Mus musculus: one gene and its partners. The protein of the gene in region 4 interacts with the protein of the main gene of each other region in a pairwise test. Links are inferred from orthologs where the notes say so. Each region holds a gene or a part of one and is shown on either strand. Other genes may lie near its edges. The genes, in order: Tmem79, Erlin1, Eda, Sec22a, Sftpc and Dtx2.

Evidence for each region.
Region 1: the proteins of Sec22a (region 4) and Tmem79 interact in binary tests that used the Homo sapiens proteins (3 or more experiments, as listed by UniProt). The two-hybrid records come from large-scale screens. The link is inferred for Mus musculus from reciprocal best matches to the Homo sapiens genes SEC22A and TMEM79.
Region 2: the proteins of Sec22a (region 4) and Erlin1 interact in binary tests that used the Homo sapiens proteins (3 or more experiments, as listed by UniProt). The two-hybrid records come from large-scale screens. The link is inferred for Mus musculus from reciprocal best matches to the Homo sapiens genes SEC22A and ERLIN1.
Region 3: the proteins of Sec22a (region 4) and Eda interact in binary tests that used the Homo sapiens proteins (3 or more experiments, as listed by UniProt). The two-hybrid records come from large-scale screens. The link is inferred for Mus musculus from reciprocal best matches to the Homo sapiens genes SEC22A and EDA.
Region 5: the proteins of Sec22a (region 4) and Sftpc interact in binary tests that used the Homo sapiens proteins (3 or more experiments, as listed by UniProt). The two-hybrid records come from large-scale screens. The link is inferred for Mus musculus from reciprocal best matches to the Homo sapiens genes SEC22A and SFTPC.
Region 6: the proteins of Sec22a (region 4) and Dtx2 interact in binary tests that used the Homo sapiens proteins (3 or more experiments, as listed by UniProt). The two-hybrid records come from large-scale screens. The link is inferred for Mus musculus from reciprocal best matches to the Homo sapiens genes SEC22A and DTX2.

What each region holds. Positions count from the first base shown.
Region 1 is NC_000069.6:88,331,634-88,335,785, reverse strand, and holds the start of Tmem79 (transmembrane protein 79), read left to right. Parts: upstream 1-1,352; 5' UTR 1,353-1,404; intron 1,405-1,456; exon of another isoform or gene 1,457-1,678; intron 1,679-2,103; 5' UTR 2,104-2,146; coding exon 2,147-2,894; intron 2,895-3,132; coding exon 3,133-3,346; intron 3,347-4,152.
Region 2 is NC_000085.6:44,059,786-44,063,285, reverse strand, and holds part of Erlin1 (erlin-1), read left to right. Parts: intron 1-220; coding exon 221-267; intron 268-1,381; coding exon 1,382-1,443; intron 1,444-3,500. UniProt on the Homo sapiens protein: Component of the ERLIN1/ERLIN2 complex which mediates the endoplasmic reticulum-associated degradation (ERAD) of inositol 1,4,5-trisphosphate receptors (IP3Rs).
Region 3 is NC_000086.7:100,388,106-100,391,605, forward strand, and holds part of Eda (ectodysplasin-A), read left to right. Parts: intron 1-1,596; coding exon 1,597-1,776; intron 1,777-3,235; coding exon 3,236-3,270; intron 3,271-3,500. UniProt on the Homo sapiens protein: Cytokine which is involved in epithelial-mesenchymal signaling during morphogenesis of ectodermal organs. Functions as a ligand activating the DEATH-domain containing receptors EDAR and EDA2R. May also play a role in cell adhesion.
Region 4 is NC_000082.6:35,361,119-35,365,326, reverse strand, and holds the start of Sec22a (vesicle-trafficking protein SEC22a), read left to right. Parts: upstream 1-1,408; 5' UTR 1,409-1,503; exon of another isoform or gene 1,504-1,821; coding exon of another isoform or gene 1,822-1,852; intron 1,853-3,567; coding exon of another isoform or gene 3,568-3,584; coding exon 3,585-3,766; intron 3,767-4,208. UniProt on the Homo sapiens protein: May be involved in vesicle transport between the ER and the Golgi complex.
Region 5 is NC_000080.6:70,521,282-70,525,416, reverse strand, and holds the start of Sftpc (pulmonary surfactant-associated protein C), read left to right. Parts: upstream 1-1,335; 5' UTR 1,336-1,373; coding exon 1,374-1,415; intron 1,416-2,643; coding exon 2,644-2,802; intron 2,803-3,140; coding exon 3,141-3,263; intron 3,264-3,501; coding exon 3,502-3,612; intron 3,613-3,944; coding exon 3,945-4,091; 3' UTR 4,092-4,100; intron 4,101-4,135. UniProt on the Homo sapiens protein: Pulmonary surfactant associated proteins promote alveolar stability by lowering the surface tension at the air-liquid interface in the peripheral air spaces.
Region 6 is NC_000071.6:136,011,800-136,015,299, forward strand, and holds part of Dtx2 (probable E3 ubiquitin-protein ligase DTX2), read left to right. Parts: intron 1-211; coding exon 212-848; intron 849-2,805; exon of another isoform or gene 2,806-3,500. UniProt on the Homo sapiens protein: Regulator of Notch signaling, a signaling pathway involved in cell-cell communications that regulates a broad spectrum of cell-fate determinations.

The DNA of each region.
Region 1 (4,152 bases), on a different chromosome or scaffold from region 4:
ACCGTAGAGTGCAAAGCTCGCCATGGGACAGCTAGGTGCTGGAGAAGTGACTACCCACATGGCAGCTCACAACCATCTGAAACTCCAGCTCCAGGGGGTCCGAAACCCTCATACAGACATGTTTAGAGGCAAAACGCCAAAGTGCATAAAATAATAAAACGAATGGGCCAGCTATCATTGAATCAGACATCGTTGCAGAAGAGGGGCAGCGAAAAGATTTTAAGATCCGGAGGTTGTGGAGATCGGCATGCACAAGGTCAAGTCAGCTGCCAAAATCCCAGCGCGCCTGAGGGGTGGCTCCTGAAGTTGCTTGTTTTTTAAAGGAATTCTTCCCGAGAGAGTTATTTATTTATATTTTGTGGGTGCATGCATACAACATACACGTGGCCAGAGAACTTGGGAGAGTCAGTTTTCTTTTAAAAGTGTGGTTCTCTGGGGAATCAGACTCAGGTAGTCAGGCTTGGTGAGCCATCTTGTCAGCCCTATTGTTTTCCTAACTATAAGGCGGATCTTTGGGGTTCTCTCTCTCTCTCTCTCTCCACATTATAATGGCAATGTATATACCACTATGCTCCTGGCTCCAGCCACCAAGTCTCCTTTCTATTCCTCAAACTGCCTCAAGTCTTTTTCCATCTGTTGGCTGCGCTGTTCCTCTACAGGGAACTTCCACTGGGTTTCAGCTTCAGTCACCCTAAAGAGGCTCTCACTACTGAAATTCTACTACTGATTTGGTGTGAACTTTAATGTTGGTTACCTGAACAGCTAGAAACCTTGTCACTTTGTTCTTTTCTGTACATGTGCCTAGACTAGCACTTTTTTTGTTTGTTGGAGTGTGTGTGTGTGTGTGTGTGTGTGTGTGTGTGTGAGAGAGAGAGAGAGAGAGAGAGAGAGAGTCTCTACATAACTCTGGCTGCTGGACCAGCCTGGCTTCAGACTCAGAAATCTGCCTGCCTCTGCCTCATGTGCTGGGATTAAAGGCTTGTACCACCACAGAAATAGCGCCTCATTAATAATAGATACCCAATAAACATTTACTGGATGAACAAACTTGCAGTGTCATCTTTTAGCCAATTTACTCTGAGCACCCTTTGATACACAAACCCACTTTTATACCCTGATGCTTCCCTGAGCTGGAAGCTCTTACAGATCCCAGAATACATTAAGTCCACACCTCTGTGCCCAGCTGCACCCTTACTTTCAAAAAGGATGACGTCCTCCTGTAGAGTCCTTCCAGTAGGCAGATTCTGTAGGGCAGGGCCTGCGCCTTTAATCTGGGCCCCACCCGCTCTGGTCAGACAGGTTTGGAGACACAGGCAAGGGAGGGAAACTGGGAAATACTTGCAGAGCCAGCCAGGAGCTAGGCAGCTCCTTTCCGGAGATCCTCCGCCTCTTTGCAGATGGAAAGTAAGAGGGTATCATGGATCCAAAGGGCAGGGGTAGGAGGGGCCCAAGAGGTGAACGAAGGGAGCCCAATCCAGAAGCTGTGAGCTGGAGGGTGGCAGGGGAGGAAACAAGAGGAAGGCTTGGGAACGGCCACACTAGAGCTGGGAGTCTGAGTGGAGCCCAGCCCAGCTGAATCGGGTGAGACTGGCAATGGGAGAGTTCAGAAAATGACCGACTCCTGGAATGGAGACTGAGGAACCGAGATCTGGTGTCGAGTTCCTGGAGGGACCTGCAGGTCAAAGGGCAGGTGGAAGGAAGGGGGAAGGGCCAATTTCTCTATCTATAGGGTGACCCTTGGCTGTAGAGAAACTCCGCCTAGTCCTAGACACCTCAGCCTCCCATTCCAAAGCCAGGGTGGCCAAAAATCCGGGAGTTTTAGTGGAGAGAGTAGAAGGCAGGTGTGGGTATAGACAGGCCACACCTGCCTCTGCTTGTGCCCCCTGACTCACCCTTGTCCTGCTGGATGACATTTATTTTGAAAGGGATCCTCCATTTCGCTCCTCTGCTGCCCGCCCGCCTCTCTGTTTCAACACCTTCCTCCCCACAGTGTTCTCCCTAGAGTCCCATGAGGCCAGCTTCTCTGGGGAGTTCTAGGTCTGAGAAACTGTCCTGGGGCCAGAAGACTAGGTATTCTCACAGAACTTCTCCCACTGCCTATAGGATGACATCGTTCTGTGGTAGCCCTCGGAACTGAAGCCTCACAATGACAGAACCGGAGACACTGGCCCTGCTGGACATGAAGGAACCCGAGACTCCAGAGAAGAGCCCACCGCAGGCTTTAGTCCTGCAGTCAGAGGAAGAAGGTGGGACTGAGTCCCCTGGAACTGAGTCGCTCAGAGTGGGGTCTTCAGTAGGGTCTCCTATAGTCAGAGAGGGGCCTGAGGATGGTCCAGACAGCACAATAAGTGAGGCTGCCACTTTACCCTGGGGAACTGACCCCCATCCTAGCGCCCCACTTCCGGATCCCCCGGGCTGGCGAGATATTGAACCAGAGCCCCTAGAGTCAGAGGCACCTACTAAGTCGGAGGAGCCATTCAAAGAGGATGCCAACCTGCTCCCCGAGAAGACAGTTAGGGCCTTCGTGCCCATTGATCTACAGTGCATCGAGCGGAAGCCACAGGAGGAGCGCATCCTGCATCGCGACGCTGGACCAGGCGAGCTCAGGAATTTCCTGCCAGCTCGACTCAGCCACCCTGAGCCCCCAGAGCGCAAGTGGGCTGAGGCCGTGGTGAGACCCCCTGGCCGGTCCTGCGGGGGCTGTGGAAGCTGTGGAGGTCGTGAGGCACTGAGAGCTGTCGCCTCGGTGGTGGCGGCCCTCATCTTCTTCCCCTGTCTGCTGTACGGAGCATACGCCTTCCTGCCTTTCGATGCCCCGAGGCTGCCCACCATGAGCTCCCGCTTGGTTTACACCCTTCGCTGTGGGGTCTTTGCCACCTTTCCCATCGTACTCGGTGAGTCTGGCCCCGTGGAGAAGGGCTACCTGGGAAGTGGATTACAGAGCTTTCGACTGGGTGGTTTCTCTTCATTCTGCTGGAACCACTCAGGGTATCCTGAACCTGCCACTCTCTGTCCTCTCCTCCAGGGAGCTCTTGTGTCCACTCTGTAGCCCCGACCCAAAGAGCTATCTTCTGGGAAACCCATCCCAACCTTCCTGCCTTTTCTGATCCCATGTGCTTACCCTCTTGATAGGGCTCCTTGTGTACGGGCTGAGCCTATTGTGCTTTTCTGCGCTTCGGCCCTTCGGCGAGCCGAGGCGGGAAGTGGAGATCCACCGGCAGTACGTGGCCCAGTCTGTGCAGCTCTTCATCCTCTACTTCTTTAACCTGGCTGTGCTTTCCACCTATCTGCCCCAGGACACCCTCAAGCTGCTCCCGCTGCTCACCGGTCTCTTTGCCATATCTCGGTGAGTCGGGCGGGGGCTGGGGTGGCCATGGCTGGGGTAGGCATGAGGAAGACATGATTCCAGATCCTCCAGGGAGCTGAAGGTCTGCAAACCTGAGGTCGGGGATGGGAGTCGGGGTGGGGTGTTTCTGGATGTGCACCAGGCAGTGATGAGCTTGCTGTCTGTTGAGCTACACTGGGTAGCAGTTGGTCTCAGAGCCATGGCAATGGGGAGCTTTTGACTTTTTTTTAGTATAGTGTTGAATCCATTGCCTTGCGTACTCTAACCTCATTTGTCATTTAGTGTGTTCACTGAAGCTACTTTACTCTGAAACTCTCCATCCAAATAGCTTTAAGAATTGGCCTCTAACTGGGCGTGGTGGTGCACGCCTTTAATCCCAGAATTTGGGAGACAGAGGCAGGCGGATTTCTTAGTTCGAGGCCAGCCTGGTCTACAGAGTGAGTTCCAGGACAGCCAGGGCTACACGGAGAAACCCTGTCTCGAAACAAACAATCAAAAAAAAAAAAAAAAAGAAAGAAAAGAAAGGAAAGAAGGAAGGGAGGGAGGGAGGGAGGGAGGGAGGGAGGGAGGGAGGGAGAGAGAGAGAGAGAGAGAGAGAGAGAGAGAGAGAGAGAGAGAGAAAGAAAGAGGGGCTGGTGAGATGGCTCAGTGGGTAAGAGCACCTGACTGCTCTTCCGAAGGTCCAGAGTTCAAATCCCAGCAACCACATGGTGTCTCACAACCATCCTAACGAGATCTGGTGCCCTCTTTTGGAGTGACTGAAGACAGCTACAGTGTAGTTACATATAATAAATAAATAAATCTTT
Region 2 (3,500 bases), on a different chromosome or scaffold from region 4:
AGCCGGGTGTGGTGGTGCACGCCTTTAATCCCAGCACTCGGGAGGCAGAGGCAGGTGGATTTCTGAGTTCAAGGCCAGCCTGGTCTACAAAGTGAGTTCCAGGACAGCCAGGGCTATACAGAGAAACCCTGTCTTGAAAAACCAAAAAAAAAAAAAAGAAGAAGTACACACTAAAAAAAATAAATAAAAATAAATTTTGATGAGCTATTTTTTTTTCCAGACAACACTACAAACGGATGAAGTTAAAAATGTGCCTTGTGGAACAAGGTAAGCTCCCTCCTTTGTGGCCCATCGCTCTTTTCTTTCTACAGTACCGAGGAAGTTCTTAGAGCTGGAGTCACTTGAGAAACCTTGGTTTGCATTTTGTTTTGTTTTGTTTTTGAATCATACAGACTCTTATTATGTGGCCCTGGCTGGCCTAAGACTTAGTATGTAGACTAGGCTGGCTTCAAACTTGGAATAACCCTACTGCCTCTGCTTCCTGAAACCCTAAAATTATAGGTATATGTCACCATGCCTGACTATGACACTACTATATAGACATGACAGCAACAGAAACTTCTGTGCTATGAGTTATTTTCATGAGGCTGCAAGTGAGAGCATTCCAGCTGAGGGTATTATTGAAATGGAGTTTCAGAGCTAGCAGACTAATTATATATTAGCATTATCACACCCGAGTTGCTATTTTAATTGACAGGAAAATGAAGCAGAAAGTATAGGCTCCACATAGCCTTTGCCCTCCTCTGATACCTTGGTTAGCTTCTCTAAGCTGAGTTCTCTTAAGTCTGGGAATAAGACCTATGTTAGAATTATTGTAAGGATTAGAATTTGTGTATATGGCCCAGAACTTGGATCTGAATTGATGTTCGATAAAAGATTACTTAAAACAAAATCATTTCACTTCTTCTCTTTATAATGTTAAATGACATCTGAGAGTTTCTGAGTCAATAAGTAGGTCTTTAATAGAATTTATGTTTCTAATGAAGTTCCTGATTACACTGTCGGTCTAGAGGCCTCTAAGAATTGTCCTAAAAAGGTTGAGGCCAAGAAAGGAAACAAGGCTGGTATAGCACTAAAATATACTTACTGTATTAATTGTATCAAGTGAGGACTGATAAGGATGAGGTAGGCTTTAATTCATTACCTAGTTTAAATGATGTAAAGTATTGCTTTTACAAACCTACTAAGGTACCTTTGACATCTATAGAAGGACAGATACATTTGAAAAGGGACCAAGCTCTCTTATGTTCTAAGTCAAGTTCTCCCTACGTTTTAAGTTAGATTATCAAGTTCTCCCTAGGTCTGTCTGTAACTTCTTTATTGTACTTTATTATTTTTATTGTGGCTCTGACTCACACTTTCCATTTTTGTTTGTTTTCAGTGGTGGAGTCATGATCTATATTGACCGAATAGAAGTGGTTAATATGTTGGCTCCTTATGCAGGTAATCTTAACTATCTGCTGTGATTCTATACTTATAACCAGGGCATTTACAACTGAGGAGGGAGAGGAAGATACTTTTTAAAGTTTTACTCCCTCAGTGAGTTCTGATGACTATAAAAGAATGATCATGCAAGGATTTTCATTTGCAGGAAATAGAGGTACAAGCAGGTCACAAGTTCTGGACAGAATTGGTTTTCAGGAACCAGTGAGCCAGTCCTCTCTGAATTTACTATTTCTGAAAGCAAATGTTTCTAGAAAAAGAAAATGGCACTGTATCCAGCTTGTTGGGGAAGAATTTCTTTGTATCCTGAAGACCTATAATTGATCAATTTTCTTGGGTCACACTCATTTGCCATTTTCTGGTTGTGATTTGCCATAACTTGCAAAGCAGTCTGAAAATTGGTAGTACACGGAAGCATTTTCTTAATAAAAGATGAACACCTCAGAGATAAAGTGGATGCATGTTATTTTAAAAAAGTTTGGCTGTGGAGAGAGATGGCTCAGTCTGCAAAACATTTGTTGTGTAAGCTTGAGGACCAGAATTCAGTCCTGAGTGCCCATGAGCTTAGTAGACTGGCATGCACTTGATATCCCAGTGCTGAGGCAGAGTCAGGGAGGTCCCTGAGGCGCAGAGGCCAGCCACTCTACCCTAACTAGTGAGAGACCTACAGATGACACCTGAGATTGATTTGTGGTCCGAGAGTGTGTGTGTGTGTGTCATGTGAACATATAAGAACTTAATTGCAAATTTTGAAGATATCTGGTCTTCATTCTTGTTAACAAATTGGCATGCCTTGTGTTTTTCAAGAACGTCAAAAAAGTGAAGATGGTAGCCTCCGCCTTCAAGGTGTTTTCATTGTACTTGAGAAGACATGGTAGAAAGGGGAAAACGTACATTGAAGTACAGGGTCATGTTAAAGTTCATATCACTTGTACAGACACAGATAGGAGAAAGATTTCAGAGTAAAGAGTTGCAAGTATATTATTGGCAAGTGGCTTTGAATGATATTTTTTGACTGTTATTTTTCTCGTGGTTTCTCATCTACAGTCAGCCTTCCGTATCTGTGAATTGTACATCCACAGGTCCAACCGAACACACATCAAACATTGAGGGGAAAAGCTGGTTCTATACTAAACATATGTGGACTTCCCTCCCCCCCATCATCATTCCCCAAACTGTTCAGTGTAGTAACTATATTAGATACCGTATAATCACCTAGACATGATAAAGTATACAGGAGTATATACAGTTTACATGCAGATACTACTTAGTTTAATAGAAGAGGCTTAGGCATTTGTAGACTGCAGGCTCTCCAGAGGATCTTGGAAGCAGTGCTCCCACAGAGAGCAACAAGTGACTGACTGTGTTCTCTGATCACAAACCACTGGAATGGATATGATTCAGAACTGACAAAGAGGAAAGTGGACGAATCTCCCTGGAGACAGGCAGGAGAGTTTTAGCTCACTGGCTTATTTGGAAGCTGATGAGATCATATATTTAGCAGTTATTTATCAACAAATGTTTCATCAACTATGACTTAGAGTCCGGTTGTATCTAATATCCTATGTAGGAGGCCAGTGGAGCAAATGTTTGGATATGAAAACGAATGTAGAAAGCATGTTTTATAGTTAGAACACAGGTTCTGACGCAGACTGGTATGTTACCTTTGGGGATATTTCTGAAAGTTTCTGGTTCTTAGTTTCCTGAGATAGAAAATTAGGAGGAGGGGTAATTAAACACCAATGTATGTAAATTGTCTAAAGTCCACCCTAGTAAATGTTGCCTCCTTCCCTGATACCCCAGAGTCTTTTAAAAATATAAGCCTTTAAAAACTGCTTAAGAATTTTTAAGTTAGCATATAGAGTAATGGATTTTATTATGTCATTTTCACGCATGTCATTATTCTTTATTTTTGTGAACTCCCATCCCCCGTATGTCCTGTCTCCTCCAGCTGGTTCCCTCCTAGATAATGCCCCCTTCTTCCATGTCATGTGTATTTCATTGCTCTTACCTTTCTTCCTTCCTTCAACCACTCCTTTGCCTTTCGTGAGCCTCTT
Region 3 (3,500 bases), on a different chromosome or scaffold from region 4:
ATAGTGACACCCCCTGGGCAGGTGGTTGTATAAGAAAGCAGGCTGAACAAGCCATGGGGAGCAAGCCAGTGAGAAGTCTTCCTCTGTATTCTCGGCTTCGGTTCCTACGTCCAGGTTCCTGCCTTGCGCTGCTACTTTGTCTTCCCTCAAAGGACTGTGACTCAGTGTATATAAGCAAAAAGGAAACAAAACAAACAAGACCGCACCTTCTTTCCTACGTTGTTTTTGGTCATGATGTTTACTGTAGAAACTCTTAAGACAAAAGGTAAAGAAATTTATATTTGAAATTGAGAAACTGTCTCAGGAGAGAACATTGTAAAAGATTTCCAATCCTGGGACTCCCATTAAAATTCTAAGACAGGAGAACTTAGAGAAAGAAGCCTACCCATGACCACCTATAGTCCTTTGGTTAGTCTGCTCAAAAGAGAACAAGTCTATAGGAGGAACAGTTATGATCCACTTACCATGACTACAGCCTAGAGGAACTGTTAGAAGGACTAGAATATGAAATGGGAGGGCTGAGATTGTTCTGGAAAGACAGTGAGAGAGAAAGGAGGAAAGGTTGGTAGACAGGATAAATAGTAGTGCATTTGAAAATACAGCCTCTAAAGAAAATCTCGGGGAAGGTGGATTGTTTGGCCTGCAATGATAGAAATTGATAGGTAACCTAATATCTTTGAGCATATGAAGTTTTATGTACATGGTGCTAACTAGTCTTCTCTAGCTACTCAAAAAATAGAATAAAATTTCAAACGGCCACAGTTAAATATACCAAAGAACTTCCTAACCGTGAGCAGTGAGGGGTGATCAACTCTGGAACATGTAACCAAGAGAGTTTGCAAAATTTCTGTTCTCAGTGATCTTTAAAAATAGAGTTTAGAGAGGTCAGCTGAGAAAGCAGAGCCTGCCGCCTCTGTCAGGTGTCTCTCTCTGCCTGTGATTCCTTCTTTTCTGTTGTTTCTTGATATCTTCAGTCTCTCACCCTATCTCTCCACCTCCATTTCCAAAACTCCTTCCCACTCCTCTTTTCAGCCAGTGCTGCCCCTATCCATCCCCATGTCCTGCACATCTGACTCCTGACAAATCTTCCTGGAGCTGATGGTGTTCCTGAGATCAGACTTCCACTATCCTTTGGTTAATAGTAGCAAGTCTGTGCAATTGAACAGCTAAATGAAGTCCTGCCAATGATGCCAATGATAGTATTACCAATGATAATCAAATTCTAAAAAGAATCATGAAGTGACCCCTAAGTCTGAGTTTCTAATAGTCCTTTGGACTCAGATCAGAACCTCCTTTTTGAAGTCTTGCCTGACCTGTTTCAGCATTTGGTCTGCCTCATTAATGTGGCACTCTTAATATCTTAGAACATTTTCCCTACTATGCTGGGCTCCTTGAGAACTGTTTATTTCTGTGTCCTCTAATCTATTTGGAAATATGGTGCAGAAAAGGGATTATAAGCATGTCCAGCTCTTCAGCAAAAACTAGATGGCTGACTTGGTGTCATTGAAGTCTCTAGAACTCCCTGAAATTATACTCCTGACTATACAGTCTTGACAGTAACTAACTCCAAATATAACACTGAATCCTGTGTTTTAGGAAAGAAGGCAGGGCCACCTGGGCCCAACGGCCCCCCAGGACCTCCAGGACCTCCGGGACCCCAGGGACCTCCAGGGATTCCAGGAATTCCTGGGATTCCAGGAACAACTGTTATGGGACCACCTGGCCCACCTGGCCCTCCTGGTCCTCAAGGACCCCCTGGCCTCCAAGGACCTTCTGGTGAGTTCTTCTGTCTCCCACCCCTTAGAAAACTTTTCATTGCTTTTGTAGAGTAGAAACAGATAATCTTCAGAGAATTTTCAAACAGTGGCAATGTGCAGTAAGAAATCCCTAGTCTAGTGTAGAGGTGGAAAGTGAACAAGCTCTGATAGTGTCTGGCCTGCTCTAAGTCTTGTTGAGTTCAAGCTGCGCCAGACAGGCCATCTGTTCTTGCCCCATGCCAATCCTTCCATCCCATTCCATCTTTGGCTCTAGTCCTTCATATAGTGAGCCAATAAGCTCATATGAGCCAAAAACAGAGGTATGAGAAAGAGGTCCCAGCCATTCACTGGAGTTCCTGTAGATATAGATTTGGCTTACTCTGATTTCCAGCATAGAGTACCACATGACATTTGCATGGAAATAGTTTGTGGGAGGAATGTTGGGGACTGGACAAAATGACAACCCTATTATAATGTCTTTCCATGTACTTTGAGACTCCTTGCCTAGTGGTGTAGAAATAGCCCCTTCTAGTCGAGTGGTTAGAAATGTATGAATCACTCAAGCTGTGTCTAACAAAACCAGACACCAAGACCACCCTGTCCCTAAGCCAAATGTGTCTCACACTAGACCCTTAAATAACCATGCTGCTCGTTTAAATGCCATTCCATCCCTTTGCCTTTTTCTCCTAGCGCCCAGTGGGGCATGCAACAGGTATAGCTGCAGATCCAATCCTACCTAATTAGAGTTGACAGGAGGAAGACGGCCTGAACTCATGCTACTTGTTACATTTTTCTCCTGCTCCCCTCCTCTATCTTGAGGTTTTCTTAAACTTAATTTCCCCAGGTCTAAGAATTCAGCAGCAGGATTCAGATTCTTTCACTTGTAATTCAAACAGGCTCAGCAGTGTTACCATGGCCACAAGAGATAAAAGTTTTTTTTTAAACCCAATCATTCCACAAATATTAATTGAACAATTTCTGTGTACAAAGAGATACATTGCTAAGTGGTCCCTGTTCTCATAGAGTTTATTTCCTAGAGTCAAAGAGACACACTTAAAGAAACAAGATCTTTATAAATGACAGTGGCTCTTGTGAAATCAGTAAGAAGAGAACAAAGAGCTAGAAAAGCAAGTGCCATTGTTTTAAGGACATACAATGACACACATAGCCTCTCTTTCCTCTCTGTGGGTGCTCAATGGGGCTTGCCTTGAGCCAATATTGGCCAGAGGCCAACTTCCCTGCTGGGATCTAGACCCTCTGAAGAAGATGGTCGGTAGGGACAGGAATGGGAAGGAGGGGATACTCTCTCCCATCAACAGCCCCATGTTGTACTATGACTCCCTCCAGCTGTAAGGCCTGGAGAAGGAAATTCCTACAGGGCTGGCTGTGGAATCCAGGCTCTGGAGCCCTGGCTGCTGAAATGGGAAAGGGAAGTAGAAAAGAGCACAGCACTCTGACTGCCCCATCCTATTTTGCAGGTGCTGCTGATAAAACTGGAACTCGGGAAAATCAGGTTGGCTGGGGATTACTGTCTTCCTGGGGAGGAGGGATGGCCTCAGGCTTGGGGTCACCTTGAAGTCCTTTGCCTATGAGATTCCCAGAGGCTTTATTTGATGTCGTACTGGAGGGTCTGAGGTTTTCACGGGCAGCCGTTGCCGATACCTATGAATTGGAAAGGTTCGCCCTAAGGATGTGCTTTTAGCTAAAGGAACACAAGTCTTGCCTGGACCATTTTACTCATTT
Region 4 (4,208 bases):
ATGAACTCCACCTATGATTTATTAATATCTTGAAATTGTCCATCTCTTTCTGCCTCTACTGCCATTATCTTTGTTTAAGCCACCATCATTTGTGGCCTTGACCAATACAACTGCCTCCAAACTGGCCCATCAGTAACCCTTCTTGCTCCCTATCCATCCATCTCCATAAACAGCAAAATGAGCTTTAAAATATGTAAATCAGATCCTACTTAAGAATCTTTATTAGCTCTGTGAATTGATCTTAGGGTGTGTTGCTGAAGTCTGAACTGTATAAAGTAGCCAAAGAGAGTTAGACCTTGCCTCATCTCAGCCTAAACTTCTTGCCCCTACATACTTTCTGCTTTAGGCTTTTTATTGATGAAATTAACCATAGTGACCAAAGGCAACTGGGTGTGGAAAGGATTTATTTCATCTACGAAAAGAAGTGAGGGCAGGAGCTCAAGGCAGGGATCTGGACAGGAAGTGAGGCAGAAGTCATGGAGGAGTGCTGCTTACTAGCTTGCTCCCCATTGCTTGCTCAGCCTACTTTCTGGTACAACATAGAACTACCTGCACTGGGGTGAAGACCGCCCACATTGGGCGGGGCTCTCCTGTATCATCGTCAATCAAGGCAATATCCTACACACTTGCCCACTAGGCTAATTTTACAGAGGGTTTATCAAGATTCCTTCTTCTAGCTATGTGAAGGTTTCTGTCGAGTTGACAGAAACCAACCATCACGACTTCCTAGTACAGTTAAATGCTCACAAATCATGTTTCCAGGGTCTAGAACATTTTTAAGGGTCCCTTAATATACCTTGACCTTAAAAGGTACGTAATCATGGAGCTCTTCCCCGACAGTCCACAACTCATTCATCAATGTACCTATTAGTTTTTCTTCACAGTACCAGTCAAATGTACATTTCTGTAACAATTTACCTTAATGCCTTTTATTCCTATTACACCTTAAAAGGAGTGCTGTGGACATTCCTGTAAAACATGCTTAAGATGCTGCCGACCATTTAATTGACATTCAGCATATCCTTGTTTAATAATACTTAACCTCGTGAAGGCTGGGAGGAGCTACTGAGGCTTTTCTCTCTGTTTTGCTAAGTTTCTTTGTGTAGTGCCTGATGGAAGAAGATCCTTTCCCTGTTCACCAGAGAGAGCTTTTCCTCTGTCCCGAGTGGCGCACGAGAGACAAACTGCTTCCCGACACAAAGCAGCAGGTGAAGGAGATTAGCCTTATTTCCGAAGGACAGCATAATTCTCTTCTTAGAAGAGAAGGCAATCTCCTGGCGCAGGTGCAGGAAAACCTGCCAATCTCCGCCGGAGGAGGCGGGGATAGGGCGGGCCTCGGAAAGGGGCGGGTCTTTGGATGCTTCCCACGGCGTCCGATAGGCCCGTGCGAGCTCCGCCGGCGCCAGCCACGTTGGACGCGGGCATCCCCGCTGGAAGGCCACTCCCGGCCCCACAATGCACTGCGTGGCACGTCACTCCGAGCCGCGGGTCCCGGAGCGACAGGTATGGCCCGGCCCCTCTTTTCAGCTTCCTCTGGGTCTCCCGGAGCTCTGGCCGGCTGCTCGCGCCGCTCTCTCGGAGTTCCACCTCGGCTTGACCGGTAGTTGTCCGAGCCGGAGCTTGGTGGCGGTGGCCTCAGAGCTTAGGAGGACGGGCGTGCAGGGTCCGAGTCCCTGCGACCTAGGGCTGCGAGCCTCGCGGGCGGCGGTTGCTGTTTAGCAGGCCTGTCCTAGGATGGGCGGCTGGAGTAGGGGCTGCTGACGGGGAGGGACGGCCGTCCCGGGCTGCCAGCGAGCCGTAGTGTTGACTCCCTGGCTCCCGATGTCAGCAGCACACCGACTCACTCGGGCTGGTAGGTGGCCCGAGAGAGCTTGAGGTGGCATTCCTACTTTCTTTTGGGCGGGGTAGCTTGTACCCTGTGATTTGTGAAGTCTGAATGGGCGTTGCAGTTGGACATCTTACTCGTTGGCTCTGGGAAATCCCGTGAGGCCCTGTTTTAAAGGTGCTTTGCGACTCTCTGTGGCAGAAAAGAGACCTGAGAAATTGGCTCCACAAGTGGGGAGTCTCCTGCTGCTTAGCTTCCGGGATCACCATCACCTGGGGGCAGGTGGAACTCTTCAGAACCCGCCCCTCCTGTGCTTAACCCTGGGCAGAGCCTGGGTGTCCCGCCAGGCTACACGTGATAGAATCCCAGCGGATTAGTACAACCACCATTTTTTTAAAAAACGGAATCACATTCCATGTTACTGGTACCCACTCGTTTGCCAGTACCGTGAGAAGTCGGTTTCTTAAACAATACTTAGAACTTCTAGTGTGTAAAGGAAGACTTGAGAGCTGAACCTGACACCCGTAACCAAAAGTTACTAAAGGATCGGCCGTTTCCACTTAAGAAGATCACATCAGTTTAGTACTTGATTTTTAGAGACTGGGTAAAGTTTAAGTATATTTTAGTTTGGTGTATGAAAAGACACTAGCAAAGAGATACTTGCCACCTTCCTCTCCATGTAGTAACGAAGCCTGGGTATGTTTAGAGGCAGTGTCTTATAGAGTTATTAGAGTTAGTAACAACTTATTACTTACTAGGGGTTGAACAAATGACTTAAGCTTTTGGAACCTGTGTTTCTTCCAAAGCAAAGTGAAACAAATACCCAACCTTACCGGTTCCCGGAAGGTTCAAATGAGGTGTATGAAGTGGATCTTAAATTCAATTAAAAAAAAAAGATAGGTAACTCCTATAATATTCTGTCATATTGTACCTCTGGGCACTGTAGGCAGGTCATTATTAGAGCTTGCAGGGTTCGTAGTTGGGTGAAATGGATGGCTGCCTTTCTCCAGTCACTTGCATAGCAACTTGTAGCACTATGAACACTGACCAGTAGGGGTGAAGCATATGTGTGCCACAGCATAGGTATGCAGGTCAAAGGATAACCTAAGGTATTGGTTCTTGCCTTCCCACCTTGTTTGAGACAGGGTCTCTTGTTCACTGCAATATACCAGGTGATCTGTCCTCAGAGCTTCTGGGAACTCTTTGTGTCTCCAATTCCCATCTACCTGTAGGAGCCCTGGATTATAGATATCTCCTCATATAACCACGTCTCAATTTTTCTTGTGTTCTGGAAAGCCAAACTCCCGTCATCAGATGGCTTGCCCTACAAGTGTTACCATTCAGCCATCTTCCCAGCTTGCAAATGCTGTTTTTACAAGCTTGTTTGGTAGTGGGAGAGATGGCTCAGTGGTTAAGAGCTTTAGTTACTCTTGCAGAAGACTCTAGTACCCCCATAGCTGCTCACAACTATCTGCAACTCTAGTTCCAACATATCAAGTTCTTCCTCTCTGTTCTCCAAGAGCACCGGGCATGCACATGGTGCGCGTACATACATGTGGACAGACACTCATACACATAAAATAAGTTACATATTTTTAAAAAATGTGTTAATTGGAAGGTTCTTGGAATATATTGTGTTGTTATCTTAATACTCTGATTATTACTAATTGTGAAAGTTGTATAAATGCTTACCAGTTTTGGCCTTGATTTTTATTTAATTCAGATTTCTCATTTTATTTTAGGTCTTCTGTGGGTTGAAATGTCTATGATTTTGTCTGCCTCAGTCATTCGTGTGAGGGATGGACTACCGCTGTCTGCATCCACTGATTATGAGCAGAGCACAGGAATGCAGGAGTGCAGAAAGTACTTTAAGATGCTGTCCAGGAAACTTGCTCAATTTCCTGATAGATGTACACTGAAAACGGGGCGCTATAACATTAAGTAAGACCTCAGTTTGGTTCGCTAGAGTCAGTTGCCTGTAGGTTGCCATTTTCATGAAATGTAAATGGTTGCAAGAAAACCTCATGTTTGAGTGACTCTGAGAAACTTGAAGTCAACATTCATGTTCTGAACTTACCTTAAATAGTAGTCATGATGTTATTAACCTTTTGTCTTTGCAGAGTCTCTGGATTGGATTCTGGCTTTAGAAGACTTTATATAAGTTTTTCAGATAGTGCTTCCTGTAAATTGCTCGATAACTATTTAGTAGAGTTTTCACATGCACAAGATTGTAGCAAGCAAATTGTAATGGAAAATGTTAAGTACAGTTTTATCCTACAGTTTTATCCTTTAAGACTGGGCAATAGGATAGAGTGTGACTTTACCCTGTGCTGACTGCATCCTTCAGGAAGAATGATATTTGACCCGAACCTTTAAAAATGAA
Region 5 (4,135 bases), on a different chromosome or scaffold from region 4:
GGAAAGATGAGCACTGGTTAGGAGCACTGGCTGCTCTTCCAGAGGACCCATGCTTGACACTCAGCACCCGTATGGAAGTTGGAAACGCTCTGTAACTCCAGTTCCAGAGGATCTGATGTCCTTTTCTGACCTCCAAGGGCACCAGACATTCAGGTGGTACAGAGACAAACACGCAGGCAAAACACTCATCCACATCAAATAAACATAAATAAGTCTTTAAAAGGGAATTGGAGGCATGTATCCAACCCCAAGTTGAAAGGGTACAGGCAATCCCAGATCGCTGATAGATGTGACTTAGTACCCCGAAGCACAGGAGAGGATTTGGGGAAAGAGAGAAGGCAGCAATGAGGAGAAGGAGGAAGAGGAGGAGGTCATGAAAGTGAATGGAATTTGGTGAAATCACATTGGGTTCCTTTAGAAGTTATTATAAAAAGGAGCACAGAAGGGTAGATAGGGCAGTAGAGGGGCAGAGATGGCTGGGACCACACTCAATCCTGGGCAAGGTCATCTTGGCTTAAGAAAATGTCAGGGGCTGGGGATGTGGCTCAGCAGTAGAGGGCTTCCCAAGCATGCTCATGATCCTAAGCGTGATCCTCAGCACCAGGAGGCAAAGGGTGATAAGGGTATATAGAGTAAGCCATCAGAGCATCCAACATACAGACAACGCCAAAGCAAAGAGTGAAACGGTACTCAACACCCATGAGCAATAATTTCCCATCAGTAGGGACAGTTTCCAGAGTTAGGAAGACAGGAGCAAATCTGAGGATAGGAATGGCACGTGTGGGAGAAGGTGGGGTAAAGGGCAGTCTGACCCTAAGGAACCATGCTAATGGACCCCAGGTGCTGTCCCAAGCTCTGTTCCTCCACCACCCTCCTCTCCAGCCCCATCAACAAGCGCCACTTTCTCAGTCCCTGAGTGGAACTCGTGTCTGAGCCTGGGGAGGTTATCTTGAGGCGAGGGACGGCCAGATTTCTTGGCTGCCACCTGAACAGTTTGGGCTGTGAGAAGAAGAGAAGCCACAGGGCTGCAGGGGCAGGTGCCAGCAAGAGAGGCAGACATGCCAGAAAGACACCCACGGTGAGAGGAGCAGGTGGCCCGAGGGTGAGTTTGCTTACCTCACCCAGGTTTGCTCTTGTTGGGGCCAAGAGGATTCATGTGCCTAGGCCAAGGGCCCTTGGGGGCTCTTGCAGCTGCCTTATCGGGGCCTGGGCTCTGAAAAGCCAGGAACAAACAAGCTACAAAGCCAAGGACTTGGCTGGCAGACAGGAGGCCCAGTCCTTCACCCCTGTCCTCTCTGTCTCTGATGATATATATAAGACACTGGTCACACCAGAGAGATGAGGAGAGGAGAGAGAGAGAGAAACCTTACAAAATGGACATGAGTAGCAAAGAGGTCCTGATGGAGAGTCCACCGGTGAGTGTGATTGTGTGTGTGTGTGTGTGTGTGCGCGCGCGCATACATAGTATACTGGACTTGACTGTCCATCCTCCAGTAGGCTTTTTTTCTTTTTCTAGACCCATATACTCAATTAGCTTAGGATTGGGCTTTTAGGATAGAGATACCGTGATCATTAAGAGTCCCTGGTAGAGGCAGGCACGACGACCACGAATTCCTGTATAAAGGGATTGAGAGCCACAGAGGGGTCAATAGAAAGTCCTGTGAAGAACACTGATAGCACCACCATGTAGTTGGGAGGCTACAGGAAGTACCACAGAGCAAATGACAGTGAGGCTGGGATGTAGATCAGTAGCTAGAGCACTTTGCAAACGTGGAGACCTGGGTTCAGTCCCCAGTACCACATAATCCAGGCATAGAGGTGCACACTGTTTGGAAATATAAGCAAGATAATCATTCAGGGTCATCCTTAGATATATAAGGAGTTGAAAGGCAGCCTGGGTCATAGATATGGTTTTTTTCTTTAAAAAAAAAAAAAGGATGGCTCAGTAGGTAGTGGTGCTTGCCACCAAATGTGGCGGCTCGAGTTTAATCTCTGGAATTCACATGATGAAAGGAGATGAAAGTTGTCCCTGACTTACACACACACATGTACATACACACTCACACATACTACACACATGTACACAAACATTCACACTCACACCACATACACACACTCTCACACACACCACACACATGTGCACACACACACACACACATGTACCTTCACACACATCACACACATGCACACTCAAACATACCACACACATGTATACACGCTCACACACTAAATAAGTGTAAAAAACCATGAAGCTGGCACATGGACTGGATTGAGAAGGAACAAAGGAGACCCGTGTAAAGGTATAGAGACAGGGCTACCTGGATCCTTTGAGGGAGCAAAAACTCAGGATATGTCTGGGGTGTTAGGCGTCGTGGGAAAACAGAAGAAGAGATCGGTAGCTGGCTCTCTTGGATTATTTCAAACCTAGACTTTGCTTCTAACTTTCTAAGTAGCTATGGTTTTGTTAGGGTCCAACCACCTTCCCCAAAGCCTTCCTTCCCAAAAGCCTCTGATCTCCCCAGCTCTTCCTTGCACACTCGTAGCCTAAAGAGGTACGGGATGTGTGTGTCCCCCTTGCACAGGGAGAGTAGGAGCCACCCTCTCCACTACCCACTTGTCTCTCTGCTTCCCTTGCTCTCTCAGGATTACTCGGCAGGTCCCAGGAGCCAGTTCCGCATCCCCTGCTGTCCCGTGCACCTCAAACGCCTTCTCATCGTGGTTGTGGTGGTGGTCCTCGTTGTCGTGGTGATTGTAGGGGCTCTGCTCATGGGCCTCCACATGAGTCAAAAACATACTGAGATGGTGAGTGGGCCTGGGTTGGGCAAAGAGGCACAGCAGACAGGGGGTTGGGGGAGATTATGGGGGGATGGGCAGCTGTTCGGGAGGAAGAGAAGGGAGTGGACAGGTATGAGCACATCTTGGGTGACACAAACAGAGACGAGGTAGCCATCCTGCCTAGATCCTCTCCCCCAGGCCCCGGCCTAGTGTGATAACCATCGATTGCTCTGACACCTCTTACGTTTAGCCTTCCTGAGATCTCAGGAAAGCGTTTGAATAGAGGATTCTGAGTAGATATGGGTACCGAAAGGCTGAGGGAAGAAAGAGAAATACCAGGCAGCATTCCAACACCCTTCCCCTAGGTCCTTGAGATGAGCATCGGAGCACCGGAAACTCAGAAACGCCTAGCCCCGAGTGAGCGAGCAGACACCATCGCTACCTTTTCCATCGGCTCCACTGGCATCGTTGTGTATGACTACCAGCGGGTGAGGATGCCGGAGGGACCACCGGGACTTTATTGGAACTAGCCAGTTGTAGCATTTCTAGAGGTCTCTCCCCATTCTGTGCCTGGCTACCTCACCTCAGATGCTCGAACCACTGACGCAAGTGCGCCCCTCCACCCTCTGAAGACAATCTAAAGGAAGTTGGTTGGCTGAGAACTAGGGTTGGGGAGGAAGCAAGGCAAGGGGACCTTGTGAATGACCTCCAGGGTTTTATACCTAGCTCCTGACGGCCTATAAGCCAGCTCCAGGAACCTACTGCTACATCATGAAGATGGCTCCAGAGAGCATCCCTAGTCTTGAGGCTTTCGCTAGAAAACTCCAGAACTTCCAGGTGGGTATGTTAGGGAGGGAGGGAGCAGTCTCCCTCTGAGGGTTGAGTAGAGGGACATGTGAAAGGATGACTAGCGTACCCTGTGTAGTATTGATGTTTCTGGATCAGACATGTTCTCCTCTCTCCATGGACCTGTGTCCTGCCATCCCTACCAGCTCTCAGGTGGCCCTGCTAAGTTGTTGGCCTTGGCTGAGCTTAGACATGACCTATGGGCTTCTACATCCAACCCAGTCCCTCTCTGAATTTGTGAGGAAACTGATCCTCGAGAATTACCAACTTAGTGTCCCACACTAAATAAAGCAGGTGACATTGAAAGTAGGTGTTCTTTCCAGGCCAAGCCCTCCACACCCACCTCTAAGCTGGGCCAGGAGGAAGGGCATGATACTGGTTCCGAGTCCGATTCTTCCGGGAGAGACCTGGCTTTCCTAGGCCTTGCTGTGAGCACCCTGTGTGGAGAGCTACCACTCTACTATATCTAGCATCCACAGGTGAGCAACAGTACCTTTCAGGGTGCCTGGGCAAC
Region 6 (3,500 bases), on a different chromosome or scaffold from region 4:
TAAACATATATAGACAAACACACATACAAATACAGTCATGCATACAAAACACAAAAGCACACAGACATGTTGACATCATGGTCGTGCTGTGGTGTCACATGGTCACACACACATACCCACGGAAACATGGGTGTGGCCCTGTGCACTTAAAGTGTTAGCGTGTGGAACAGCAGGAGGGTTCTCATTTATGGGTCCTGCTCCTTCCCTACAGGCACCATGAGGTCTGTGCGCAGACACCTGTTCTCACAGAATTCTGCCCCAGGCCAGGGCATCGTCTGGGAGTGGCTGGGCGATGACGGATCCTGGGTAGCCTATGAAGCTAGAATCTGTGACTATCTGGAACAGCAAGTGGCCCGGGGCATCCAGGTCGTGGACTTGGCACCACTGGGGTATAACTATACTGTCAACTATGCCACCCTAACCCAAACCAACAAGACTTCCAGCTTCTGCCGGAGTGTGCGACGCCAAGTGGGGCCAGTTTACCCAGTGACTTCAGACATCGCTGTTCCACGCCAAATGGGACTTATCTGCTTTTGCCAACAGTGCCTCCATGGTAGCGGAACTGGCCCTGTGTCGGGCCGCTACCGCCACTCCATGACCAACCTGCCTGCATATCCTGCCCCCCAAGCACCCCACCGGACCACCACTGTCTCTGGGGCCCACCAGGCCTTTGCCCCATACAATAAACCTTCACTGTCTGGGGCCAGATCTGCACCAAGGTTGAACACCACCAACCCCTGGGCTGCAGCACCTCCTGTTGCAGGCAACCAGTCCCTGTTCCACTCCAGCCTCTCCCACCTGGGGCCTCAGCTCCTGCCCTCAGGACCGTCCACCTCCAGTGGAGCCAGGTACCTCCCAGTGCGGACTTTACTTCTACCCGTGTGGAAAGCCTCTCCCTCACCCTTGCAACTCCACGTTTGCCCCGTGTTGTCTTTTGCAAGTGCCACTTGTGTGCTGAGCCTCCTTGGTTTCCCACTTTGACGTCCCATGGAGCTACCATGCCATGGCACTTTGATTGTCAGCAGTCTTTTAATCTTTTTAACTTTTGTATATTTTTGATGATATGGTCTCATGTAGCTCAAGGTGGCCTCTAAATCCCCTGTATAGCTGAGGACAGTCTTGAACTTCTCTGATCCTCTCTCTTGTCTCTGCCTCTCCAGTGCTAGATGATCCAACCCAGGGCTTCGGCATCCAGGCAAGCACTTGACCACCAAGCACAGCCTCAACTCCGTTGTTGTTTTTTGTTTTTTGGTTTTTTGGTTTGTTTGTTTGTTTGTTTTTGTTTTTGTTTTTTTTTCAAAACAGGGTTTCTCTGTGTATCCCTGGCTGTCCTGGAACTCACTCTGTAGACCACACTGGCCTCGAACTCAGAAATCCACCTCCTCTGCCTCCCAAGTGCTGGGATTAAAGGCGTGTGCCATCACTGCCTGGCTGTTTTTTGTTTTTGTTTTTGTTTTTTTTAAAAACATACAAGTTCTGTCGGCCAGGCTGACCCAGAACTCAGTATGTCGCGGTGCCCTTGAATCTTCAACAGGCTTCCTGCCTCAGGCTCAGGGTTGGGATTAGAGGCCATTACCAGGACGCAACAGTCCTTTCTCAGGGTCCTAGGGTGCGGCAGACCTTTGCCTTGACTTATGTACTGCCTGAGGGGCTCTGTGCTCTGAGGATACTTTGCCTTGTGGCGGGCAGTGCAGATATGGGGGTGGAAACAGCAGCTCTAACCCTGAGCCCACAGTTAGTTCTGAGGAGCCCAGGGTAAGTGGGAAAGATGGAAGGCGTGGGATATAAAATGCCGAGAAAGGTGATGATATCCAAGGTCCATCCCAACCAGGCAGTACACTTTTAGTTCTGAGCGTCTGGGCTCTGCGCTTGCCCACTGGGTCTACATTGCACTGAGCCCCAGCTTTGCCTGCTGAACAGCTGAGGCTGGCCTGGACTTTGCTCTTTCTGTCTCAGTCTTCCAGGGGTTGGGGTTATAGCTTATGCCCTCATGCAAAGCCAGGTGGAGTTTTGCTGTTGTGGTTTGGTTTGATGGGTTTGTGTTTTGTTTTTAAGCGTGTGTGGTGGTTTGCCTGTACTGTGTGCACATGCTTGCCTGGTGCCGGGAGAGGATGTCACATCCCCTAGAACTGGAGTTGTGAGTCACCGTGTGGTCCTGGGAATTGAACCTGAATCCTCTGGAAGAGCAGCCATTGCTTTTAACTGTGAGCCATCTCTCCAGCCCCCAAGTCAGATTGTTTTTTTGTTTTTTGTTTCTTTTCCTTTTTGTTCAAGACAGGGTTTCTCTGTATAGCCCTGGCTGTCCTGGGACTCCGTTTTAGATGTTTTTTTTGTTTTTTGTTTCTCCCCGAGACAGGGTTTCTCTGTGTAGCCCTGGCTGTCCTTGGAACTCACTCTGTAGACCAGGCTGGCCTCAAACTCAGAAATCCGCCTGCCTCTGCCTCCCAAGAGCTAGGATTAAAGGCGTGCACCACCACGCCCCGGCTTTACCACCTTTGTGTGTGTGTGTGTGTGTGTGAGTGTGTGAGAGTGTGAGTGAGTGAGAGAGAGAGAGAATGCATGCCAGCAAGTACAGGTGCCACAGTGCCCCGTGTGAGCTAGTTCCTCCTACCATGCATGGCTCTGGGATTAAACTCGGGTTGTCAGGCTTGGCTGGAGTCTTCTCTACCCACTGAACCATCTCAGCTCTGACTAGTGTTTGCTATTGTTGTGTTTGTTTGTTTTTATTTTATTTTAAAATTTTGTTTTGTTTTTAGAAAAAGTCTCTCTGTTTATTTCAGGCTGGCCTGGAATTCTCCATCCTCTTTTCCTTCTCTGTTAGAGCACTAAGCAGTCACTCCATCATCCTCAGCACCACCACTAAAAAAAACCAAAAAAGGTGCTGGCACACACAGGCATTTTAGAAAACCCACCCGAACAATGCGAGCTACCCAGGGCTTTGATACCTTGGCAAGCTTTATTCTTTAAGCTTGTGACATGGGCAGGGATGGCCATCAGAGATGTCCACTTAGAGTCTGCAGATGAGGACCTGCAGGTTGGCTTAGCACTAGAATGACTTATCTAGAATCTTCCTTTCTTGGGGCATGACTCAGTGGCAGATCTTCTGCCTAGAATTCCCCAGTGAGAGTCTGGGTGTGGCTCAGTGGTATACACTCTGCCTAGCATGGTGCCTAGGTGCCCGCCAGCTCCCTAAAAAGAGAAGCAGTTAGTTGTGTGGGGCGCGTAGGCACTGGGGCTGGCCTGAGTGTGCGGAGGAGGGGCCTGCTGGCCAGGGGAGAGTTGAGGGCCTGGATCACTGGCCTCCAGGCGGCTGTCTCCAGAGTTGGGCATGCGTACGTCCTCTGGGACACGTGGGTCTGTCTCCCTGGGAACAGGGAGTCCAGATAGGCCTCACTGGGTCCTGTGCAGGCTTTACATGGACACAGGCCTGCAGGGCTCCCCGGGACGTCCCTCTCTCTCTTGCTACTTAGGCTTAGTGTGTGGGCCAGTCCTTCAGGGAA